Linked DNA regions of Bombyx mori. The protein of the gene in region 1 binds, or shares a complex with, the protein of each later gene. Links are inferred from orthologs where the notes say so. Each region holds a gene or a part of one and is shown in the gene's direction. Other genes may lie near its edges.

Region 1 (4,399 bases):
CTAGATGACCTTCAGAAATGGTTTAATATGTGGCGCGTTAAAGTAAACCAAAGCAAATCATCCCACGTTACATTCAGCCTCAGGAAACAAACCTGTCCACCTGTAAGCTTATATAACGAAAACATACCGCAAGCGGAAGATGCAAAATATCTTGGCATACATCTGGATCGAAGACTGACATGGCAAAAGCACATCTGGTCTAAGCGAAAACAATTAGACATAAGGCTAAGAAATATGTACTGGTTGACTGGAGGGAAATCCCAGCTTTCGCCAACAAGTAAAATTTTAATTTACAAAACCATCTTAAAGCCAATATGGACATATGGCATACAGCTTTGGGGAACTGCCAGCAATAGCAACGTCGAGATCCTGGAAAGGTTTCAAAATAAAACTTTCAGAACAATGCTAAGAATACCGCATTACATAAGCAACAAGATCATACAAATGGACCTAAATATTCCCACAGTGAAAGAGGAAATAGTAGCTTACAGCAAAAAATATCAAGCCAGGTTATCGACACACGTCAATAAATTGGCGTCGGACCTAGGAGGCACAGGAGCTGTGCAGTTTACTAGATTAAGGAGGCACAGTATACCTACCTTACACAACAGAAATTAAATCTAACAATAAAAGATGAAGGTGTCACTGGATATCTGATTCTGTTTATAAATCTATTAAGAATAAATTCAGCCAGAGGAATAGCTCATTGTTAACTGAAAAACAGATCGCTACGAGACATTAAAACATAAGAGAAAAAAAAAAAAATTAATTAGAGAAGTTAATATTACGACGGATGCGATGCTATATAAAAAAAAAATTAAAAAAGTTAATCAAAAGAAAATCAATTTAATATGTATAATGTGTGTAGCGCCAATAGATATGCTGTACTTGACTTTTGATTTTCTTTTGGACTTGAGGACTGTATTCTGTTAAATTAAAAGATGTTTATTTTTTGAGATACCAGTTGGCATGTGTATTCTGAATTAGCAATTTTACAGTTTTATATGATGATGGGGTCAGGGAACAATATTTTTATCCAATAGCAACCGCACACGTTCCTAGCGTGATAGCGTCACACACAGCTCGATTATAATTGGTCGCGAAAATTTATACAATAATACCAATATAATAATACTAATGACAAAATACAGATACGATAATTTCACGGATCGAGATCCTCAGCATTGCAGATGCGTGAACAATGTCTAATGTACAAACTAATAAAACTGAAAAAAAAGATCTTCCGAGAACTAGCTTAGGCTAATATAAAAGTTAAAGACAGGTTTGTGTAAGTGAGAGAGATTTAAAGTGAGTGATATATGTATACTGAGCTAAATGATCAAGATGAAAAAATAAATTAATTGACAGACCAATCAATTGAATTGGATCACTGAGCTAGTGATCTAAATGGGCTAGTGAGCTAGATGAGTGATATATATCTTTAGAGTAAAATGATATATGTTCTATGATTATACTAATCTGTGCTCAACAGGATTATGTTGTAATATGTTGGCCTAAAGGTCTAGAAACCAGGCCACAAACTCCAAAAAAAAAAAAAAATTTTTAGTATGTTGTACATACACAAAAAACGCGATAAATATACGTTTTGGTAAATTTTAGTTAGCAAACTAGTGAATTTTGTATAATGAAGTAATTAAAAATAAAAAAATCAAGATGTCGCTGGAAATACCTTTAATGAGCACCGACGAGGTGAAATAAAAACTCTAATTCAGTTTGGCGTTTAAAAAGTGTTCGTGTAACATTTTTATATTAATATTTGATTTCTTTAGGTGATTGACCTGGATCCAGAACAATTACCTTCCGGCGATGAGGTGCTCAGTATTTTACAACAAGAACGCTCACAACTCAATGTTTGGATTAATGTTGCAGTGAGTTAACCTAACCTCGATATTATTCTATTATGGGAAAATAATCATAGCAGACGAAAAAAATTAAAACTTTATACCAATCACAACGTTGCAAATACATGAACTAATATAAAATGCAAGAAAATCTTTAATTAAAAAAGGTTTTTCAACTGTAAATGATCATTTAACAATTAGTTGAGTAAATATGTTTACAAAGAACTTTCACAAATTACTTTACCTTAAACTTATAATGTCAGTTTTAAATATAAACATTAACTGCAATTTTCTTCGTTCTTTTAGACTTACATCAAAATATGTTAAATATACAATCATAAAATAATTTCACACTTATGATACATAATTCGGAGTACACATTTTCATTATTTTTATTGCCTACAATTATCGTAATGGGGGTGTTAGATATTATGAAGCAAACACTGCCAACATGCTGACATGTGTGTCAGCAGTGTAAATGTCACAAAAAATTTGAAAGTATGACTACGTCATGGGAATAGGCAGCTTTGTGGTATCTTATGGGTAGACAATGCACCCTATGAATATATGAATAAATATGCAAATTCATAAAAATTATGGTTATCATATTAATAATTTTATTACACAATATAATTTCTTCGATATGTATTTGTATACATACATCAGGTGGAATTTGATATGATCTAATGTAGTTTGTTGTGGTTGAAATTAATAAAATAAATAATAAAAAGGAATTTGTACAATTTGAGTTTCGGGACATTCATATTTATTATTAACCTGTTATATAATAAGAAACAGTTGCTCTGCATCTTAAGTGTGACTGACTTTATGCTCCAGTTAAAAGTTTTCAACTTTTTATGTTTAGCTCGCATATTACAAACAAAAGAAAATCGATGACTTCCTCAAGATCCTGGAAGCATCACGTACAGATGCCAACATTGACTATCGGGATTTCGAAAGAGATCAGATGCGGGCTCTCGACATGTTGGCCGCATACTATGTGCAAGAAGCTAACAAAGAGAAGTCAAAAGATAAGAAAAAAGAACTATTTACAAAGGCAACATTATTGTACACTATGGCGGATAAAATTATTATGTATGATCAGGCAAGTGAAAAATAATGCATCAGTTAATCATTGCTAATTGTCGCTTTATTTTCTAATAATGTGAAATGTTCCAGAACCATCTTCTTGGTAGAGCATATTTCTGCTTATTGGAAGGTGACAAAATGGAACAGGCTGATGCTCAGTTCAACTTTGTCCTAAATCAATCCCCAAATAATGTGCCTTCATTGCTCGGTAAAGCTTGCATAGCTTTCAATCGTAAAGATTACAGAGGGGCACTTGCTTTTTATAAGAAAGCACTTAGAACAAATCCAGACAGCCCAGCCGCTTTGAGACTGGGTATGGGACATTGTTTTATGAAGCTGAATAATCAGGAGAAAGCCAGGTATCTATATCGTAATAATTATGGCTTGTCTGCAAATTCTGATTTTGGATACTGGAGGTCCTGGTCCATTACTGCTATTAAGAAACTGTTTCAGTTTGAATAGCAGAGTAACTTAATCCTTTGCACTTGAGATTTCGAAGTATTTGTTTATGTGTAACTTGTGATCCCATTCATGTCAAATATGTTAATTCACCAGCTTGGGCTTTTAGACATATTTGCATATCAATAGAAAACTGTGAATAAGCTTTAAACAAAAGTTTCAAATCCAATCATTTCCATTAAAAGTTAAAGAAATACCAAAGTGAAAAACAGAAAAAGTCCCTCCCTATGGCATATTGCAATGAGTATTTGGACATATAACCCAAGCAGGCGGTATGTCGTAAACTTATGTTGTGTCATGACATATCAACGCCCAATGCCGCATGATAAGCGGTCATGCCGTCCCAACCTGACATATATGGTATAAGAGGAAAAAGAAGTGTAATTTTGATCAAAAGTCATACAGTATATCTGTTGTAGTGTTTACTGGAGCCCATATCTTAAGACATGAGATTGAAATCTCTATTATATTGTATGAACAAAACTAGGGGTACTACATTGCATACAAAAAAAAAGAAGTACACACACATATATATATATATATATATATATAGTTTTAAAGCATTGTAGAAATGGTGACCTCTTGTAAAGCGCACCACCACCCCAAATGATGACCACGACCACTCTGTCAAGAGTGCAAAAGACTGAGAAGAAGAAATAATAAATATATTTATTGCAGGATGGCCTTTGAAAGAGCTTTACAATTAGATCCACAATGTGTAGGTGCTTTAGTGGGACTTTCCATTTTAAAATTAAATCTGCAGGAGAGTGAATCAAACAAAATAGCAGTTATTATGTTGTCTAAAGCCTATGCTATTGACCCAAAAAATCCTATGGTTCTAAATCATTTGGCCAATCATTTTTTTTTCAAAAAGGTGGGTTGTTTGCTGTTTGCAATAAACTATTTGTATAAGTAGTCTGTTTCCCAAGAACAAGATACTTTTGGAGTAGACATGCTTCAGCACAACATCAAAACTACATTACTACATA
Region 2 (4,453 bases), on another chromosome or scaffold:
ACAGAGTGTGCTGGGTTAAAAATTGTAATATTTTTCGTGACTTGTGTAATTAAAAATATTATTATGCATTATACAAAACCTCAACTAAATACTATTTATTGTTACTACTATTTACATAGGAAGTGATTCCTTCCTTCTTAATTTAGTATTTTTTTTTTTAATTTTTAATGGCTTAGTTTGGTGGACGAGCTCACAGCCCACCTGGTGTTAAGTGGTTACTGGAGCCCATAGACATCCACAGCGTAAATGTGCCACCCACCTTGAGATATAAGTTCTAAGGTCTCAAGTATAGTTACAACGGCTGCCCCACCCTTCAGACCGAAACGCATTACTGCTTCACGGCAGAAATAAGCGGGGTGGTGGTACCCACCCGTGCGGACTCACAAGAGTAATTACCACCTAGAGAGTAAGTACCTACCACCAGTAATTACGCAAATTTATAATTTTGCGGGTTTGATTTTTATTACACTATGTTATTCCTTCACCGTGAAAGTCAATCGTGAACATTTGTTGAGTACGTATTTCATAAGAAAAATTGGTACCCACCTGAGATTCGAACACCGGTGTATCACTCAACACGAACGCACCGGACGTCTTATCCGTTAGGCCACCACGTCGATGACTTCAAAGTAAATTATACTATTATAGTATTTTAATACAATGATAGGTTTGTGGCACTGTTTTAAAATATTTCCAGTTGCTAGTATGGCGCTACCATAATTCATTCCCTTTCAGCTGACACATTTTCACATATTGAGATGGCACTCCTTACTTCTACCCTCCATAGTCGTGGCCGAAAGGATATGCATTCGTGTCTTGCGATGCACCGGTGTTCGAATCCTGCAGGCACCAGGCACCAATTTTTCTAATGAAATAATTACATAACAAATGCGTAATTACTAGTGGTAGGAAATCTTGTGAGTCCACACGAAACTTAAAAAAAAACTATTATTTGCCTATAAATTGCCTATAAAAAAATCCCTATTTTTGGCGTGAAGCAGTAATGCGTTTCGGTTTGAAGGATAGAGCAACCGTTGCACTGTAAAAACTAAGACCTAAGAACTCATATCTCAAGGTAGGTGGCAGCGTTTACGTTATAGATATCTATGGAGTCCAGTGACCACTTAACTTCAGGTGCGCCTTAAGCTCGTTCACCCACCTAAGTGGGTAAGCTAAAATTTGGACATTGGCGGGAACACGTGAAGCGTACTTCTGGTTTAAATGTGTAATAACGGTGGTTTATTAACTGTTTAGCATCTGTGAAAGTGCATAGATGTAAAATAATGAAACGAAGCAGCTTGTCGTAGCTTCTCGAGTTCTTTCAATAATTCCATTGAAAAATTCTTAGTAAATGACCACTGTTTTACTGACACTATATTTTGGCCTTATATAATTTCATTTCATTTGATTTCATTCCAAATTATTAATGGCTCAAATTAATCAACTTCATTTCATTTCCTTCCAAATAATTTTTAAAAAGACACATACGAAAGATAAGGCTGTATGGTTTGATACCTACGCCTTTTCAGCTAGAAAAATGGAACTACTATTTTAGAAATGTTCACCATGGATGTTCAATGTGTTTCGTTTTCTGTTTATCCCGGTTAGTTTTTTAGGCCGGGGTGTAAAGTTACTTACAGTATATTTAATAGAATTGGTGTCATTATTTTTACTTGACTAGTCCGAGAGAAAATAAACATAAAGTTGAGTGTGAAGTTATCATGGCGGACCCACTCAGTTTACTTCGTCAGTATAACGTAAATAAAAGAGAAATAATTGAACGCGATAACCAAATAATATTCGGTGAATTCTCTTGGCCAAAAAATGTTAAGACAAACTATCTTATTTGGAGGTAAGTACTTTGTGTTATTATTGGAAAATAAACTTTGAAAATGTTGAGCCTTATTGTACCCATTTATGCAATTTTTTAGATCTGGAAAGGAAGGCAGCGTTAAAGAGTATTACACCTTGGAATGCCTTCTTTTTATTCTCAAGAACATTCACCTGACTCATCCAGTATATGTCAGGCAGGCTGCTGTAAGTGAAGTTTAGTTATAAATAAAACATGTATGGTTGATGTTCCACATAACACATTATTGATCTCAAAAAAATTTTAGGCTGCAAATATACCACCTGTGCGTCGTCCAGATCGTAAAGAGCTATTAGCATATCTAAATGGAGAGACTGCTACTTGTGCCTCTATTGATAAAAGTGCACCCCTTGAAATTCCGACTCAAGTGAGTAAGAAAGTTTATAAATAACACTTTCACTAGACTAGACTGTAGGACCAATTAATGTGAATTTTATTCCCATTTATTGATTGAAGTTATTAAGTGATTAAACTACTACATAGGTGAAACGCACACTTGATAATGATGGAGGAGAATCTGCTGCAAAAAAACCTCGAATTGAGGAAACTCATGTTCAGAAGGTCCGAGAACAACTGGCAGCCAGGCTTGATGCCCCTAAGGAAGCTTCAGTCACAGTGGACAATATCAAGTAATTCATCCAATTTATAATAATATTAATTTTTTTAATTTTATATCACTTAGCTGAACCTACTATTATACAAAATATATCAGGTGTACATTCTCAATGAGTTAGTAGTTTCATCATGTGCAAAAATGTGCAATTCCTATTACTTTAATGGAAATGAGCTTTAACAATAAAGACAAATCAAATATGTATACATAATTTGTCCAATCATATTGTACTACGAATTTAGACTATAAAATTAGGGGCCAGAAGCTTTAATGGAATTAATTATGCCATTAGTTTGCAAACAGTATGAAGCATGAAAGAATAACATAAATATCTTAATAATTAATAAGATGCTATGAGGTCAGTTATCAGTAAAAACTAGTTTTATTTGTGGCCAGTGGCCACTGAACCATTTTGGTGATTTTGTTGCATTCAGCTAAAATAATCGACAAAAAAATAATAGGTTTACTTCAGGTTGTTTTAATTGTTTTTATCAGTCTTCTGTATGTTGAAAAATTACATTTGTTGTTCACGGAAGGTGGCCAAAGGTCCAAGTAGTGTGTAGTCTATTTGCCTTAACAGAACAGGAACTATGGTCGTTTTCTTGCAATTTTATGGGTCATTGTCATTGCCTCTAGGCATTTTTTATTATTAACAAAATGTAGTGTGATAACATAAATTCACCTAGACTTTGTGAATTATATCTAAGAACTGTATATCATCATTCATCATGAAGTACTCCAAATTCAGTGTTCCAAGATCTCTTAAAATTTGTACATGTATAGGTTTTATCACAATAAAACTCGTGTAGTTCTTTAATCATAAATATACTTAAGAAGACCAAGTCTAAAGTACCTTGTGGCTCTCGATGAAATTTAGAAAATGAATTTAAAAAAAATCTTTAGTTCTAAGCAAACAATTTGGGTATTTGTCTTTTTTTCTATATCAATAATCTTTAATTACCCCTTCTCTAATCTTTTTGATTTAAAAGATGATCCACACCACACAGTCACCACATCAAATATTCGATATCTAAATAGGTGTAAACATATGTATAAATATCAATATGTACAGAAAATAAATAAATTATAAGTGTTTTCTCTTCTAATTGAGTAATTGTTTCCAATTTTTAGATCCCTTTCTGAAGCTATGTCTGTAGAAAAAATTGCAGCAATCAAAGCAAAACGATTAGCTAAGAAAAGAACCACAATCAAAAGCAATGACTATTCTGATACATTGGGTGTAGTCGGTTCAGACTTAAGAGCCATTCTTGACTATGATGTGGATCTTACTAAAGATATCATCAGCCGAGAAAGGCAGTGGCGGACAAGAACAACAGTATTACAAAGTAATGGGAAAGTAAGTAGACAGCTAAGTATTTATAATTACAAAATATACATCTTTAAAATTCTCCACTTAGCACATGTGAGAAGTGTTGTAATTAGATACGTCTGCATAATACAAATTGATTACTCTTGAATTTTCATTACATTCATGCGTCATTATAGATCTATTATAAGACAATTTAATAATTGATGGTGTTATCTTTAAAATTATAATATATTAAATGAAATTGAATATTGTAGATGTTTGCTAAAAGCATATTAGCTCATTTGGCGAGCATCAAAGCTAGAGAAGAAGGTAGACCTGGGATTCCGAGAGCACAACCTGTTATTTTGCAACAGCCTACTGTATTACCTGCACAACAGACACAGTATAACAGATACGATCAGGAAAGATTTATACGTCAAAAGGAAGGTTTGTAGAGTATACAGAGTCTGTATTTTAGTTTTGTCTTTTCTGGCATGAAGTAGTCATGTGCGTTTTATGGATGGTAACTTATTGAATTGGTTATTGAAACAACTGCAAATTTGGCTTCCGATAGATCACTAATTAGGGTGTAGTAAGACATCAAGAACAAAAATAATCTTAAACAAATCACTGCACATTCATTCCCTAATAATGTATAATC
Region 3 (3,357 bases), on another chromosome or scaffold:
ACTGGAATGTTAAAAGCAAAGCCTCTAAAGGCTATGAAGAGAATTACTTTTTGGTGAGTCTGTGTGTTGGTTTTGGATAGCATTTGTGCTGTCTCTTGATAATTACTGGTTTACTAATTTACTGGTGGTAGGACTTCTTGTGAGTCTGCGCACCATCACCCGGCCTATTTCTGCATGAAGCAGTTATGCTTTTCGGTTTGAAGGGTGGGGCAGCCGTTGTAACTATACTTGAGCCTTAGAACTTATATCTCAAGGTGGGCGGCGCATTGCCGTCGTAGATGTGTATGGGCTCCAGTAACCATTTAACACCAGGTGGGCTGTGAGCTCGTCCACCCATTGAATTCAAAGAAATTCAATTTTAATTTATTTGAGACCACAGTCACATAGATTGGTGCATTGAGATTATATTTATTTCAAAATAACATTTCATACGTGTTTCTATACCTATGTTATGCAACAGGTGGTGCGTAATCACTGTGTTTACTACAATGAATTGGAAACGAGAGTTCGTCTGTCGAAACGTCGAGCCCGCGCTGGAGCAGCTGCACAAGCCCCGACTAGGCTGGTGGTCACGCATCGTCCTCTCAGTAGCACCGAACATCGTATGCTGAGACTTAGAGAGAAGCAACTTGAGCCTCCACAAGTAAGACACCTATAAACATACTAACATGCTTATACATACTAGCTTAAAAATATTAATTCATACCCACAGAAAGCTACACTGGCACTTATTCGCACCATGTGAGCGAAGTTGCAGCTATTTAATGATAAATCTCAATTAAATTATTCGAAAAGTTATCTGTCACTTGTATAAAATTTGTTTATAATAGGATGAAGACGAGGAGGAGGAGGAAGAAGAAGATGAAGAAGAAAAGCAGGAACAGAGCGGCGAGAAGGAAAGGTAATCATTTGAAACAGTTACAGTTTGTTCTTATAAATATGATGATAATGATGAACAAGCCTGTCTGAGTACCTGCAACCATTCTGCCTATTTCACGAACTCAAGTCATAAATACCAGTTTGAATAACGGGTCAACTGTCTTGTAATAAAACTGATACTTGAATCTCTTATACAATACTAGCTTCTACCCTTCTGCTTTGCTGGGCATTTGAAATTAACATTATTATTTCTCACCCCCACAAAGATTCTCATCGCCCCCGCAACTGGTGTAAGGAGTCCAACGCTTATATAGATATTGGCCTATCCATTAAGTACAATGACATGTATTTTCTACATGGATACCAAGTTTCAAGTCAATCGGATGCATGGTTCATATCAGTCATCTATTATCAAAGGTGGCAATCTGTGCATTTGGACAAAAAAATGTTATTGATATGTCAATACAGATTGATTTGAATATAATCGTCTCCTTCAAAGAATACGGTTCAAAACCTGCATTAAATAAAGGTTAATAGTTAACCTGTTATTTATCTAAGATGTCGTTCAGAAGAGTTTTGTGACTGCCAATGGAATACAAAGTCAATAATTCGTTTTTCTGATTTACCAATAATTGTCCAAAAGTTACATTGCCGGCTTTGATAATAGTCGACTCATATATTAGTATAGATTAAACCAATCTGAATTACCCATTCTTAAAAGCAGTGTTTTTATTAGAATTTCTATTATTAAAAATGTGATTTAATTACACATACACCATAAGATAGCATAGCCTGTTTAAATTCTAAGTTAACACGTTGACCGCCATGTAGGTCACTGGTGCCCTACGCGGCGCACTGAGGTAATTATGTCGATCTCTATTACTAAGCGCTAGGATTGCTTAATCTTGCCTTCTTTTGTTTTTAATATAATAATAATATGTTTTAGTATTTTAGAAATATATTCATTCTCAGTATCTTCGAATTCTTTCCCAGCGACTACGAGATGTTTCAGTGCCTTAGTAAGAAGATCGAAAAGAGAGAAATCGACATAATTACTTGAGTGCGCCACGCAGGGCACCGGTGACCTACATGGCAGTCAACGTGTTAATTTCACATCAATAGGTCTCGTTCGCGATCAAAATCGGGTTCGAAGTCTCCTCGTGGCTCCGAGAAGTCCAAAGGCTCGGGAAGGTCCAGGTCGCCGTCACGCGAGAAGTCGAAGTCGCGTTCGAGGTCAAGGAGTCGTTCTCGGTCCGCTTCCGGCTCTAGGAACTCGAGATCTCGTTCAGGATCGGCACGTTCTCGGTCACCGAGGTAAACAACATTTTATATATCGACGCTTGAAAGGCAAACGTGACTAAGCGGTATTGCGTGAACTTTACAGTAGACTAATTTAAAGTTGAAATACCTGAAAACAAAATTATATTTTAACGAATCTAGCTGTAGGATTGAAATGATTTTAATAGACCTAGAAATACATTTTTTTTTTGCTCATCGAATATAGTTATTGCCTATCATTTATGTACAAAGCAGTTATTGTCGCTTAGTCACGTTTGCCTTTCAAGCGTTGATATGCAACTAGTAATTTGAGGCCGTCAGCGCAAAAGTGGCCTAACCCACAATTAACATAATCATGTCTATAATTATATTGTATTGCAATTTATTTAAAATATAATAAATTTTGATGCAAAACCGGCCTATCAATAGTTTCACCCATAGATAACAGATGGCTTTGTAAATTAGATCTTTTGTTTTTGTAATCGGTATTTTAGATTTCAGTGTAGTGGTTTTTTTTTTTCATAAAATATCATATGAAGTTTTGAGTACCTATACAGTACATGTGGTTTTTTTTCATTGCTTAAGTAGTTAATGGGGCCCTTAGACATGGAAAACCTACACACGTGGGCTCACACCCTACTCCAAGCAATTACTCTATACATTTTTGTGAATTTGATATTTGTTTTACAATGTTAAAGTCATTTGGGAACACCCATTTTGAGATCTTTCTCATAAATTTTTTTTCATTCATGTCAGTAGAACGATTCAGTGATGGAGTGATGTGTAAAATGGCTCTTTCCCTTCGAATCACTTCAATTATTATTATTTTTTGCAGATCTGGTTCAGAGCGTTCTCGGTCACGTTCAAAGTCTGGCTCGAGGGCGTCTTCAAGAGCCAGTTCCAAGAGCGGGGCGGGTTCTCGCGCCAGTTCCGCTTCGAGAGGATCCCGTGCTACTTCTAAAGCTAGTGATAAAGTAAATGACATTATTTTTTCACGCTTTATATTAGCTTCACTTGTGGTGGTAGGACCTCTTGTGAGTCCGCATGGGTAGGTACCACCACCCTGCCTATTTATGTCGTGAAGCAGTAATGCCTTTCGGTTTGAGTGGGGCAGCCTTTGTAACTATACTTGAGACCTTAGAACTTATATCTCAAGGTGGGTGGCGCATTTACGCTGTAGATGTCTATGGGCGCCAGTAA

What was found.
Region 2: RNA polymerase-associated protein CTR9 homolog (region 1) and parafibromin share a complex: the UniProt entries of both Caenorhabditis elegans proteins name them as parts of the PAF1 complex. The link is inferred for Bombyx mori from reciprocal best matches to the Caenorhabditis elegans genes ctr-9 and cdc-73.
Region 3: RNA polymerase-associated protein CTR9 homolog (region 1) and RNA polymerase II-associated factor 1 homolog share a complex: the UniProt entries of both Caenorhabditis elegans proteins name them as parts of the PAF1 complex. The link is inferred for Bombyx mori from reciprocal best matches to the Caenorhabditis elegans genes ctr-9 and pafo-1.

Annotation. Positions count from the first base shown.
Region 1 is NC_085129.1:3,976,580-3,980,978, forward strand, and holds the start of RNA polymerase-associated protein CTR9 homolog, read left to right. Parts: upstream 1-1,466; 5' UTR 1,467-1,674; coding exon 1,675-1,710; intron 1,711-1,790; coding exon 1,791-1,889; intron 1,890-2,727; coding exon 2,728-2,967; intron 2,968-3,041; coding exon 3,042-3,310; intron 3,311-4,088; coding exon 4,089-4,284; intron 4,285-4,399. UniProt on the Caenorhabditis elegans protein: Component of the PAF1 complex which is a multifunctional complex involved in transcription initiation via genetic interactions with TATA-binding proteins, elongation and transcription-coupled histone modification.
Region 2 is NC_085121.1:7,757,416-7,761,868, reverse strand, and holds the start of parafibromin, read left to right. Parts: upstream 1-1,506; 5' UTR 1,507-1,721; coding exon 1,722-1,852; intron 1,853-1,931; coding exon 1,932-2,037; intron 2,038-2,117; coding exon 2,118-2,237; intron 2,238-2,353; coding exon 2,354-2,499; intron 2,500-3,614; coding exon 3,615-3,840; intron 3,841-4,067; coding exon 4,068-4,239; intron 4,240-4,453. UniProt on the Caenorhabditis elegans protein: Component of the PAF1 complex which is a multifunctional complex involved in transcription initiation via genetic interactions with TATA-binding proteins, elongation and transcription-coupled histone modification.
Region 3 is NC_085120.1:5,060,637-5,063,993, forward strand, and holds part of RNA polymerase II-associated factor 1 homolog, read left to right. Parts: coding exon 1-53; intron 54-460; coding exon 461-643; intron 644-830; coding exon 831-901; intron 902-1,583; exon of another isoform or gene 1,584-2,001; coding exon 2,002-2,193; exon of another isoform or gene 2,194-2,287; intron 2,288-2,992; coding exon 2,993-3,131; intron 3,132-3,357. UniProt on the Caenorhabditis elegans protein: Component of the PAF1 complex which is a multifunctional complex involved in transcription initiation via genetic interactions with TATA-binding proteins, elongation and transcription-coupled histone modification.